3 linked regions of the Danio rerio genome follow. The protein of the gene in region 3 interacts with the protein of the main gene of each other region in a pairwise test. Links are inferred from orthologs where the notes say so. Each region holds a gene or a part of one and is shown on either strand. Other genes may lie near its edges.

Region 1 (2,753 bases), on a different chromosome or scaffold from region 3:
AATACAAAGCTTTTAGATGCTTTCAGGAATGCTTGCTTCTGATTGGTCAATCGCTATCTTTGTTTAATGATAGATTTAATTCATCTTTATTTCTATAGCGATTTTACAATGTAAATTGAACATAGAAGTTCTAGATTGAAACTAAGTCAGTCCAGCTTTCAGAGTTGAGGTTCAGTTTAGTTTAGTTCAGTGTGGTTTAATTTTCACTGCTGAAAGTCCAAACACTAAAGAACAAATCCATTGAAGTCCTAAACCAAGCATGCCGGGGCGACAGTGGCGAGGAACAAACTTCACCAATTGTAAAAAGAGCACGACCATTTTTCCTCTGGTCATAACAGATGTTACAATAGACTGCTGTATTTTAGTACAGTATAGTCATTGCAAATGGTCAAGATCTTCATTATTATTATTATTATTATTATTATTATTATTATTATTATTATTACTACTACTACTTTTACTACTAAGTAGCATTCAAAACTTTAGTGTCAGGTTAAAAAAATGGTTTATTTAAAAATATATTTAGAAAAGACACATTCAAATAATCAAACGTTTCATCATAAATAATGTGTAATGTTATCAAAATATACATTTTGTAAATTTGTAAATTAAAGTACAAACTTAACTCTGTACTTTAACATTATATTAATGCATTTAATCCTTACATTTATATCGTGCTTTATCTGAAGATTCAAGGCGCTTGAAACATTTTTGGGGGAATCTTCTCATCCACCACCAGTGTACAGCATCCACCTGGATGATGCAACGACAGCCATATTGTGCCAGATCCCACATCACACACTAGCTAATCAGTGGATAGGAAATAAAGTGATGAAGCCAATGGTTTGGGCATGGTTAGGTGACCATGATCAAAAGAGGCCAGTGGGCAAATTCTGGAATTTTTAATGACCACAGAGAGTCAGGACCTCGATTTAATGTCTCATCTGAAAGATGGAGCTTACTGAGCAGTATAGAGTTCTCTTCACTATACTGGGGCGTTAGGACCCAATCAGACTGCAAGTTGAGCCCCCCCCTGCTTGTCTCACAAACACCACTTATGGCAGCAACCTAGCCAAACCAAAGGAACATGAAAAAAAAATTATGAAAATTTACTGACATTGCAGAAATGCATGACAAATATTCATAATAATGTATTTTAATTCAAATAAACCTAGTTTTTTAAAAAACATTGACCCAATTTACCCATCTTTTTATCCATGTTCACTCAGGCCTTTTACTAAATTGTATTCTTGGTTATTTCTCTCATTAGGCCTCCCATTCACGTCAAGGAGGAGCCACTGAACATGGAGGACGAGGACTGTCCGATGTCACTGGTGACCACAGCCAATCACAGTCCTGAACTGGATGATGACAGGGAGCTTGAGGAGGGCAACCTATCGGAGGATCTGGAATGACTATTTTGCCCCACCCCTCCGCTGGGGCTCTGCCCCTTTCAGGCCCCGCCCCTTAACTAAACCACAAACGCAGCAAAAAGACTGGACGCAGCAGGCGGGAGTATTTATTTAGCATGCATCTGGAGACTGGCCCCGAAGAAAATCTATAGCGCAGATCTTTAGGGACCACAGATGGACAGACACGAGAGAGGTCTGCTTTTTAAAAACAAACATACAAAAGGAAGAACAACAAAAAGGACAAGATTTCATCCGAATCCGCTTGGCCAAATCACATAACGAACACAAGGCTCACGGAACTGAAGTGAAACGGGAGCGAGTGCGTTCTGTAGAAAGCCAGCGGCCACATATACTGCCAAAAAAACAAAACAAAAAAAAAAGAAGTTTTAAGTTTGTGAATATCCAAGCCACATTAGTCGTCGGTGTTAGATGCAATTGCTGGTTCAATTCAAGTTGTTGCTCTGTTCTTTTTTTGCACATGAAGTAGTATCAGAAATTTAGTGTCACTGCCTGTATGTCGACGAAATTTTAAAAAGGAAAAACCAACAAAAAAAAAAAGCTGTTTTCCGTTGTTGTTGTTGCTGTTAATTTTCCCCCCTCCTCCCTCATCACTGTTGTTTATGTTCCTCCCGCAAGCTTATGTTCATTCCGAGTCATGTTTGCGACACCACCAACTGTAAATGGCATTTCTTAAAGTCACGTCAATAACACAACCGTGGTATCAAGACTGTTGCAGCCGTCCAAAAAAAAAAAAAAAGTACACAAAAAACGTAGGTCTCGCTAGCAGCTCTGCTTCTGCTGAAACCGTGACGTGTGATTCAGTTGCATCTCAGAAAACACAACGCGTTTCTGCATACTCTTCTAGTCTCTTTACCTCCTTGTTCTAAAGCTTTGTCTACCTGCAGAGAGTCACAGGCAACAGCTAGAAACCAAAGCCAACACTATCAACGGCCAATAGCTTAGACAGAAGCCGCCAGACTCTTTGGTCAGTCTTCTGTGACTAGTACAAAGAAGCTTTTCCTTATTTCTTTTTTCACTAACTACCTTCGAATAACCTCTGGGATTATCTCCTTTAGCCCTGTACAAAGATTTGAAATGATTTTGCTGTAATTTGATCGACAGACGGAGTGCTCAATATGGCCTGGTGAATTCGAGCCAGGTAGAGCAAGAGAGCAGCTATAAATGGATCATGACCAAAATATCCATTCGTGGAAGTGCAGAAATTGAGTTTCATTTAGTATTATTTGCGTAAAGCATCTCATCATTGTTTTTTTTTTTTTTTTACTAGTGAAATGTACTGTTCATTGTGACTGTCCGACGTGTCATGTCTTATATCCGTCA
Region 2 (3,663 bases), about 18 Mb from region 3:
TAGGGCGTGTGATTGACCATGTTTAAAGTCCTGCGCAGAGTGTGTTAGGTATGTGCCTATGCAGATTCAAGAGCTTAATATACACAGGATGTACAGCAATACACAAATATCTTTACATATGAAAACAATAAAGTATCAAAATAGATATGTGGGAAGATAAATTTAAATAATCTAGTTCCAAATTAACAATAATCTAGCTAGGGTGTGACAGACCTTAAAACCAATTGCCTTCTCAGCATTGACTGTGCCAGGGTGATGCAAATGCTAGAGGCATGGTCTTAATGACTCTTCCTTTGTCTTTGGGTGATACTTTCAGGCTAAAGAAACACTTTTGTTGATTAACTTGTGTGGTCAGTAGCTGGGCAGGTTTCTCCAATACTTTATTTACATGCTTTGCTTAGCCATCACTACGGTGGCCGGGAAATGCAAAACAACATTATAAAGTGTGAAACACTTTTACATTTTGAAAAACATTTTTACCTGTCATCAAACACAATTACATAGGAAAAACAATTTTACCAAGGACGAAACAAATTTACATTTTAGAAAAAAATTAATAAGTCCGGAAACAAATTTACTTTAGAGTGGGGGAACTTATGTCATCACTTTGTAGGCTAATCGGCTGATAGCATAAAACTGGTTCCCTCAATAAAATCTCCAAAGGATTTTCCCATAGGCAACATTCAATATACTTTTCTGTCATGAAGTACAGCAAAAAGCTGCCCATACAGTCACATTTGCTATACATTTTATGGAGGAGTGTAAATATTGCAGTTATGAAAGTATTAAATGTGTTTAGATGAAGATAAAAACGATGAAAAATCACTTGATCACGTTAAAATAACAGGTAATATGTCTTTATTTTACACATTTATTCTCACGTTTGCATCACTGAGAGCAGGAAAGAGACAGGCTGCACTGGTATGTTCATAATATTGTTTAATTAAAATAAGTGATTAACAAATTAGTCTGTCTCGACAGCCTTTACAAGTGAAGGCATTATCTACACAATATGAATTCCCAATTAGAAAAATACTACAAACTATAAAATACTATTAATGAAAATACTTAAGTAACAGACAAATCCAAATGTCTAACACAAGCGAGCTGCGCTCCAGACCAGCTCAGCTCGATGACGTATATTGTCCCCGACATCGCCTGTAGTCCCATTTAGCAACTTTATAGCAACCATCTTTTTAAAGAAACATAACCAATTTAAAAATTTAAGTGTGATGTAACTGATGTGTTTTATGGTGTAGAGTAAAACGTGAAAGTATCTTGAGTGAGTGTTAGCCACGAACCTTATTTAACAGATATCACATTGAAAAAATTCATTGACTTTGGGACAAGGGAACCGGAATTGCTAAAATGCTAACTCGCTTCCGGGTTTTTGCCAACAAAGTAACGTCATAGTTCCCCCACTCTATAGTAAATATGTTTCGGGATTTGATAAAGTGTTTTGCATCTTGTTAATTTTTTTACAAAAATGTAAATTTGTTTCATCGTTGGTAAAATAGTTTTTTCTATGTAATTGTGTCTGATGACAGGTAAAAATGTTTTTCAAAATATAAATTTGTCTCGAGCTTTGTAAGTGTTTTACACTTTGTAATGTTGATTAGGACTTCCAGGTTCCAGTTATTATTTTTCATTTATTTATTTGCTAGAAATTAGAACTGAATTTTAAAATAGTTTTAATACAAATCTCTGCATTTAAAAAACAAAATTAAATATGTAGACTGATCAATGTCTTCAGTGCAGTGCGTACAGCACCGTTTCCTTGTCCACAAAAGTAAAGAAGTAAAATAAAGGATAAAAGTAAAGTAAAGAGAAAGTAAAGAGGCCAGATGGAGGAGACTCGTTCTTTATCCTCGCTCTACTGATGGTCTGTTTAGCCGTTTCTCGCTAGTGAAGCGTTTAGTTTTAAGTCTGCCATGTAAATAGCAAATGCACCATGGCCCGATATAACTGACTCTTAAAGGAAATAGGAGATGAGACTCGTTGATGATTGGATTAATGCATATTAAGCTCAACACTCCCATAACTCATGAAGAGAATAAGCACAACCCTGTTAGACCATGCTCCGAAGTGCAGAGCATAATTTTCCTTAAAAAAGCAAAAGTGGATTCAGACACACTCTTAATGCTTTTGCTCTATTCACTTTAGACTTTGCACCTAGATCGTTAAAATAGAGCCCACTGAATTTGGAGTCACTCATACCAATGTTCACCAGTGTTGGTGGAAATGTTGGCAGTTACTGAACATTGATTCTGTCACCAGCACCATTTCAGTGAAAGAAAATGCTTTCATAGCATATGGCGTTGTCCATTTATATATATGCATTTGCTGTACAGATGAACCCTCGGCAGTGGGGCCACATCTCAGAGAGTGCCAAAGATCTGGTGCGCCGTATGCTGATGCTGGACCCTGCAGAGAGGATCACAGTCTATGAAGCTCTCAACCACCCCTGGCTGAAGGTATCAACTGCACAGCTATAATGTGTTGATGTGGAATAAGACATATTACTGATGTTGTTTTATGCACTTTAGTTGTTCTTGCTTAATGAGATGAAATGATGTGAAGCTTATGTGTTTTCTATCAGGAGAGAGACCGCTATGCCTACAAGATCCACCTTCCTGAGACCGTCGAACAGCTGAGGAAGTTCAATGCCAGGAGGAAACTAAAAGTGAGATATCAGCACATTACAGTCTCTGAATTTCAGTATATGCTCTGTGGTGTAATATTCAATCACTGACCACATTATTAGGTATACCTGTTCAATTGCTCGCTAGTCAGCATGAAATCTAAATTTTGCTATTTATTGTTTTGTTTTTTTTACATATAATATTGTAGAATATTCATATAAATTACTTCATTATTTTTTAAATATGCTCTCATAGTCATTATTTAGTACCTTTTACTTCCACCCCCCTCGAAACAACAATTCTTCACCTCCTGCCATGTTCTATTGGAATATTGGCCTCTCTCTTGGTTTGCATAAAGATGATCCTTTTTTTTGAAGGTGCTGGAGGTACAGTTAGTAAATATTAATCCTCCAAATCTAGTTGCAAACTAGCATTCAAATTTACCTCTGTTTTGTTAGCAATGCACAACATCCAATGATCAAATAAATTCCAGAAGGACAGAGTCCTACCTGGCCCTACATATATATTTCAGAAGCTGTTTTAACCCGATATATTTAAGGAAAATTTCAACTTCCACTTCATTCTGACTTTAATGCAAATATCTAGTCAACCAGTTTCATGGCAGCGACTAAGGTAAGAAGGGAATGTCTGACTAGCTTGAGCTGATTTAAAGACAACAGTAACTCAACCAACCATTAGTAATACCAAGATATGCAGCATTAAAGTAGATAGAAGACTGTAGCAGAAGGCCGCACTGGTGACTGAGGCATCATTTTAGATTGTAAAAATCTGTTTTAATCTATGATTTGATATTTTGATGGTAGAGTCAGAATTTTAATACAATATGAAAGCATTTATCTATCCTGCCTGGTATCAAAGAGGGGATGGTAGTGGTTTAATGATGTGAGTAACATTTCTCGACACTCCATTAATAACAATTAATCATCATTTGAACACCATACAGCTGAGTGTTGCTTCTGACCATGTCCACTCTTTCATGGCCACAGTGTAGCTATTTTCT
Region 3 (3,763 bases):
TAGGTTCGGATGAAATTAATAGTTTTTTGGGCTTAACCTTAATAGATATCCTGCATTTGTGGATGATAATTTATTTGTCCTGCTGAATATTTTGGCAAAACGTGATTATTCTATGAAGAATAATAATGCGCGTGCATTTAATTTGGTAATCAGCGCGTCTGGTTTTCATAAATCTGTCAAATGACAGAGAAATGATTTTATTGACAGAAATCCCATTGGCCAGTGTATTAATAACCATTTGTGCGTTGTTTGTGATTTGGCATGGGTTTGGATATCTTAATTTTCCTTCCCAGGATCTCATTGTTGCCATGCAAACATTCAATGACCGTCTATTCTTCTTCTTCTTCTTCTTCTTCTTCTTCTTTTTCTTTTTCTTATACTAATAATAATAATAATAATAATAATAATAATAATAGGACAATGAGGTGGCAATAATAATAATAATAATAATATTATTATTATTATTATTATTATTATTATTATTATTATTAGGACAATGAGCTGGTAATAATAATAATAGTAATTATTATTATTATTATTATTATTATCATCATTATTATCCCAATTATTATTATTATTGTATTATCATTGTAGTTCTTGTTGTTACATTATTGTAATTATTAGTTTTGGGTGAAACAACATAGTTATGTTTGATATTTTAATATAACACTCATTTGTGCAATAAGCATATGCATTGTCCGTGTGCGGTGCTAATTTGTTCATTTGCGCAATTACGCGCAGAATATAAAATATTTTGTTCTCCCGCGCGTTTGCGACACTTTATTTACGGTCAGCCACGCATCTCATATGCGAGATTAACGTGTGTTTGTCCACCATCTTTCTCCAGTGTCTACACAGGCTGCGACATCGATCGGTTGACGCCGTCCCCGGGTGACTCTCCGCGCTCTCAGATCATGCCTAGCGCAAGATATGCCATGACTGGTTCTTTCCTGCAGGACCAATTTGTCAGCTCGTATGCCAAGTCCCGCTTTCACCCTGGCGTCGGAGGCGCTCCTGGCACGGACCGCAGCGTCCCACTTAGTAACAGCTTGCTCTCCCCGCAACAAACCGAGGAGACCACGGTGGCCTCCCCGCAGCGATGGTTTGTCACCCCTGCCAACAACCGACTGGACTTTGCCGCCTCGGCATACGATGCTGCTGCGGCTGCTGATTTCGCCGGTAACGCGGCCACCCTTCTGTCGTACGCAGCTGCCGGAGTTAAAGCGCTGCCCCTGCCCGGTGCGGGATGCTCCAACAGACCTCTGGGGTATTACGGCGAGCCACCGGGGTGGGGCACCCGCACACCACCGCAATATTGCAGTAAATCCAGCTCTGTTCTGTCTTGCTGGCCGTCCAACTCCGTAGGGAGCAGAACGACCGCCTCAAGCTACCTGGTCCCGGGACTAGAGGACGGAGACCCCATTGCGCCCGAGAGGTCACCGCTAGGCGGGGCGGATGAGTCCAAACCTAAAGACCTGTCTGAATCCAGCTGGATAGAAACCCCGTCCTCAATTAAGTCGATCGATTCGAGCGATTCTGGGATTTTTGAGCAAGCCAAGCGGAGGAGGATTTCGCCATCTGCCACGCCGGTTTCCGAGACGTCGTCTCCATTAAAATCTGAAATGTTGACGCCGAGGGAATGCGAGAAAAACTGCTCCAAGGACATCGGCTACTACAGCTTTTACCCCCACAGTTAGAAAACTCGGACCGACTAATGCATGGCTCGTGTGTTCAAGGATTCACAAAAGTGACTTATAATCTATTTATGTCCTGCTATTTATTTATTTGTTTATTTATTTGCTCTTATATCCGGTCGCGTCGTTCTAAGGACGCCACGCGTCGAGTTTTAACGGAAAAAAACGGACACTTGATCAAATATGTACGCGGTTTTCGTAACCAAATGACATTTTAAGGTTTTAACTGTCAAACCTATTGTAAGTATGAAAGTACTGTACATAATTGTATTTATCTATTCATTTGTGATTCTTCTCGTTGAATGTTGATGTATAATATAGAAAACCGAATTAGGTTTATGTTAAATGTACTTAGAAAACGTACTTACGTTCGTTAGTTCGAATAGCTACATATATTAAATATTTTGATGTCTGAAAAAATAAGGATACATCTCGTATAGGTTCCAGTTGTGATGACAAAAACGATACGACTGAATTGGAAGTAGCTGCTAATCCGTTGAAAAGCCCGCCAAAAAGAGTTCCTCTGACAGGAAAAATGGCGGACGCATGTCTGTCAGAGGTTGATTTTATGTAAGCTTATATTGATGTTGCTTTTAGAGTCGCGTCGTTTGTTCGTAAATATCATAGTCCGTAGTTTCATTTTGTGAACCTTGTTGAAATGTTTTTAACCACACCAGCGTAAAATCATTTATCCCATTACCTTTTTTGTAGAGATAAAAACATAGACAACCATTCCACGTATTAACAACCCAGGCATTTCATTTGTATTTCATGGGTTGTTTTCTCATGAGGAAAATCGCGAGTTAGGCCTGCTAATGTGTAAAGCTAATGTAATTTGTGGTGTGCTTACTTGCAATAAATATGACAGAATGTGAAACCCCGGGCAAAGTACACAAGCTTCAAGCTAAGCTGATTTCAAAACCAAATATTTGTACCATTTTCTCTACCTGTTCTTGAGGTATATTGAAACGCCAGTCACAATGTGAATTCCGTTGCCTGTTCGATGCATTTTCATAATAAAATGTAGTCATGCAATGCAACAATTAAGATAATCGCCCAGAACAAACTCTTTGGTAGTTCTGTACAATTTATAGATGGATTTTTTACTGCAATTTATAGAAGCCCAAAAGGTAAACAGTAGAGTTAATAACAAAATAACAGACCAGATACATTTAGATAATGAGATTTAAGTGAATATATTTGGGCACATTTTGGTTGTCAAATATAGGCGGTGTGAGCATTACACCTGTGATTTTATATGGTCCATTTCAGGGCAAATTTAATTGGATTTTAAACCCATTCATGACCTGGATTTAAAAAAAACAGACCAATATTTATGTTTTTAAGACCTTTTGAATTAGGGTTTAGATATTGTAGTGACCTGATTCATTAAAACTCTGCTGTAAACACCTTCATAAGCAATTTTGAATGCATCCACAATAAACAGTTAATTTGTTAGTATGGTTGATATTTTAATGTAGTGCAATTACATTGTTTTAGGTTTGACTTGCATCTAGATATTATTACTGCACAATTTAAAACATAACAATATTTTATCAATCATGATAAGAGGTCAATATGATAGACATTTCTGTTTTTTTTTCAGTTATTTAAGCTCGTTTACATCCACATGCAACCTTCATATGTATGTAAATGAGCGGTATGCTATTATTAAACAGGCAGACTGAATCAACTGAGACCATTTACAATTTCTATTTTTTTCACTGTGTCTGAAGGTTAAATAGATTCATAAAAAATCCATTACATCTGTGACTCATAATCTTGGTCTTGGAGTTTTGCACATTATCTGAGGCTTCCTTTACTGAATATTAAATATCATGCTGTCAGAAAAGCCACACATTTTAGTCTTAGGACTGAGATCCTTTGTATTTTGATCTTATTAAATATTCTTACAGTAACTCCAAGACCTGAACTGTCTGATCATACACACTGAGCAGTCATTGAGTAAATTGCATCAAGCTACTCTTGCCTTTTTTATTTGATCTGGCATGCAGAAATAGTCAGTAGTGTGGCAGTCTCATTTTCTCATTTCAGATATTTTTATCTTT

What was found.
Region 1: the proteins of tbr1b (region 3) and foxp2 interact in a two-hybrid assay, tested with the Homo sapiens proteins (2 studies listed by BioGRID and IntAct, with this or other methods). The link is inferred for Danio rerio from reciprocal best matches to the Homo sapiens genes TBR1 and FOXP2.
Region 2: the proteins of tbr1b (region 3) and caska interact in a two-hybrid assay, tested with the Homo sapiens proteins (2 studies listed by BioGRID and IntAct). The link is inferred for Danio rerio from reciprocal best matches to the Homo sapiens genes TBR1 and CASK.

The regions. Positions count from the first base shown.
Region 1 is NC_133179.1:6,895,490-6,898,242, reverse strand, and holds part of foxp2 (forkhead box protein P2), read left to right. Parts: intron 1-1,270; coding exon 1,271-1,415; 3' UTR 1,416-2,753. UniProt on the Homo sapiens protein: Transcriptional repressor that may play a role in the specification and differentiation of lung epithelium. May also play a role in developing neural, gastrointestinal and cardiovascular tissues.
Region 2 is NC_133184.1:35,100,320-35,103,982, reverse strand, and holds part of caska (peripheral plasma membrane protein CASK), read left to right. Parts: intron 1-2,351; coding exon 2,352-2,474; intron 2,475-2,599; coding exon 2,600-2,683; intron 2,684-3,663. UniProt on the Homo sapiens protein: Multidomain scaffolding Mg(2+)-independent protein kinase that catalyzes the phosphotransfer from ATP to proteins such as NRXN1, and plays a role in synaptic transmembrane protein anchoring and ion channel trafficking.
Region 3 is NC_133184.1:53,420,664-53,424,426, reverse strand, and holds the end of tbr1b (T-box brain protein 1b), read left to right. Parts: intron 1-847; coding exon 848-1,697; 3' UTR 1,698-3,383; downstream 3,384-3,763. UniProt on the Homo sapiens protein: Transcriptional repressor involved in multiple aspects of cortical development, including neuronal migration, laminar and areal identity, and axonal projection.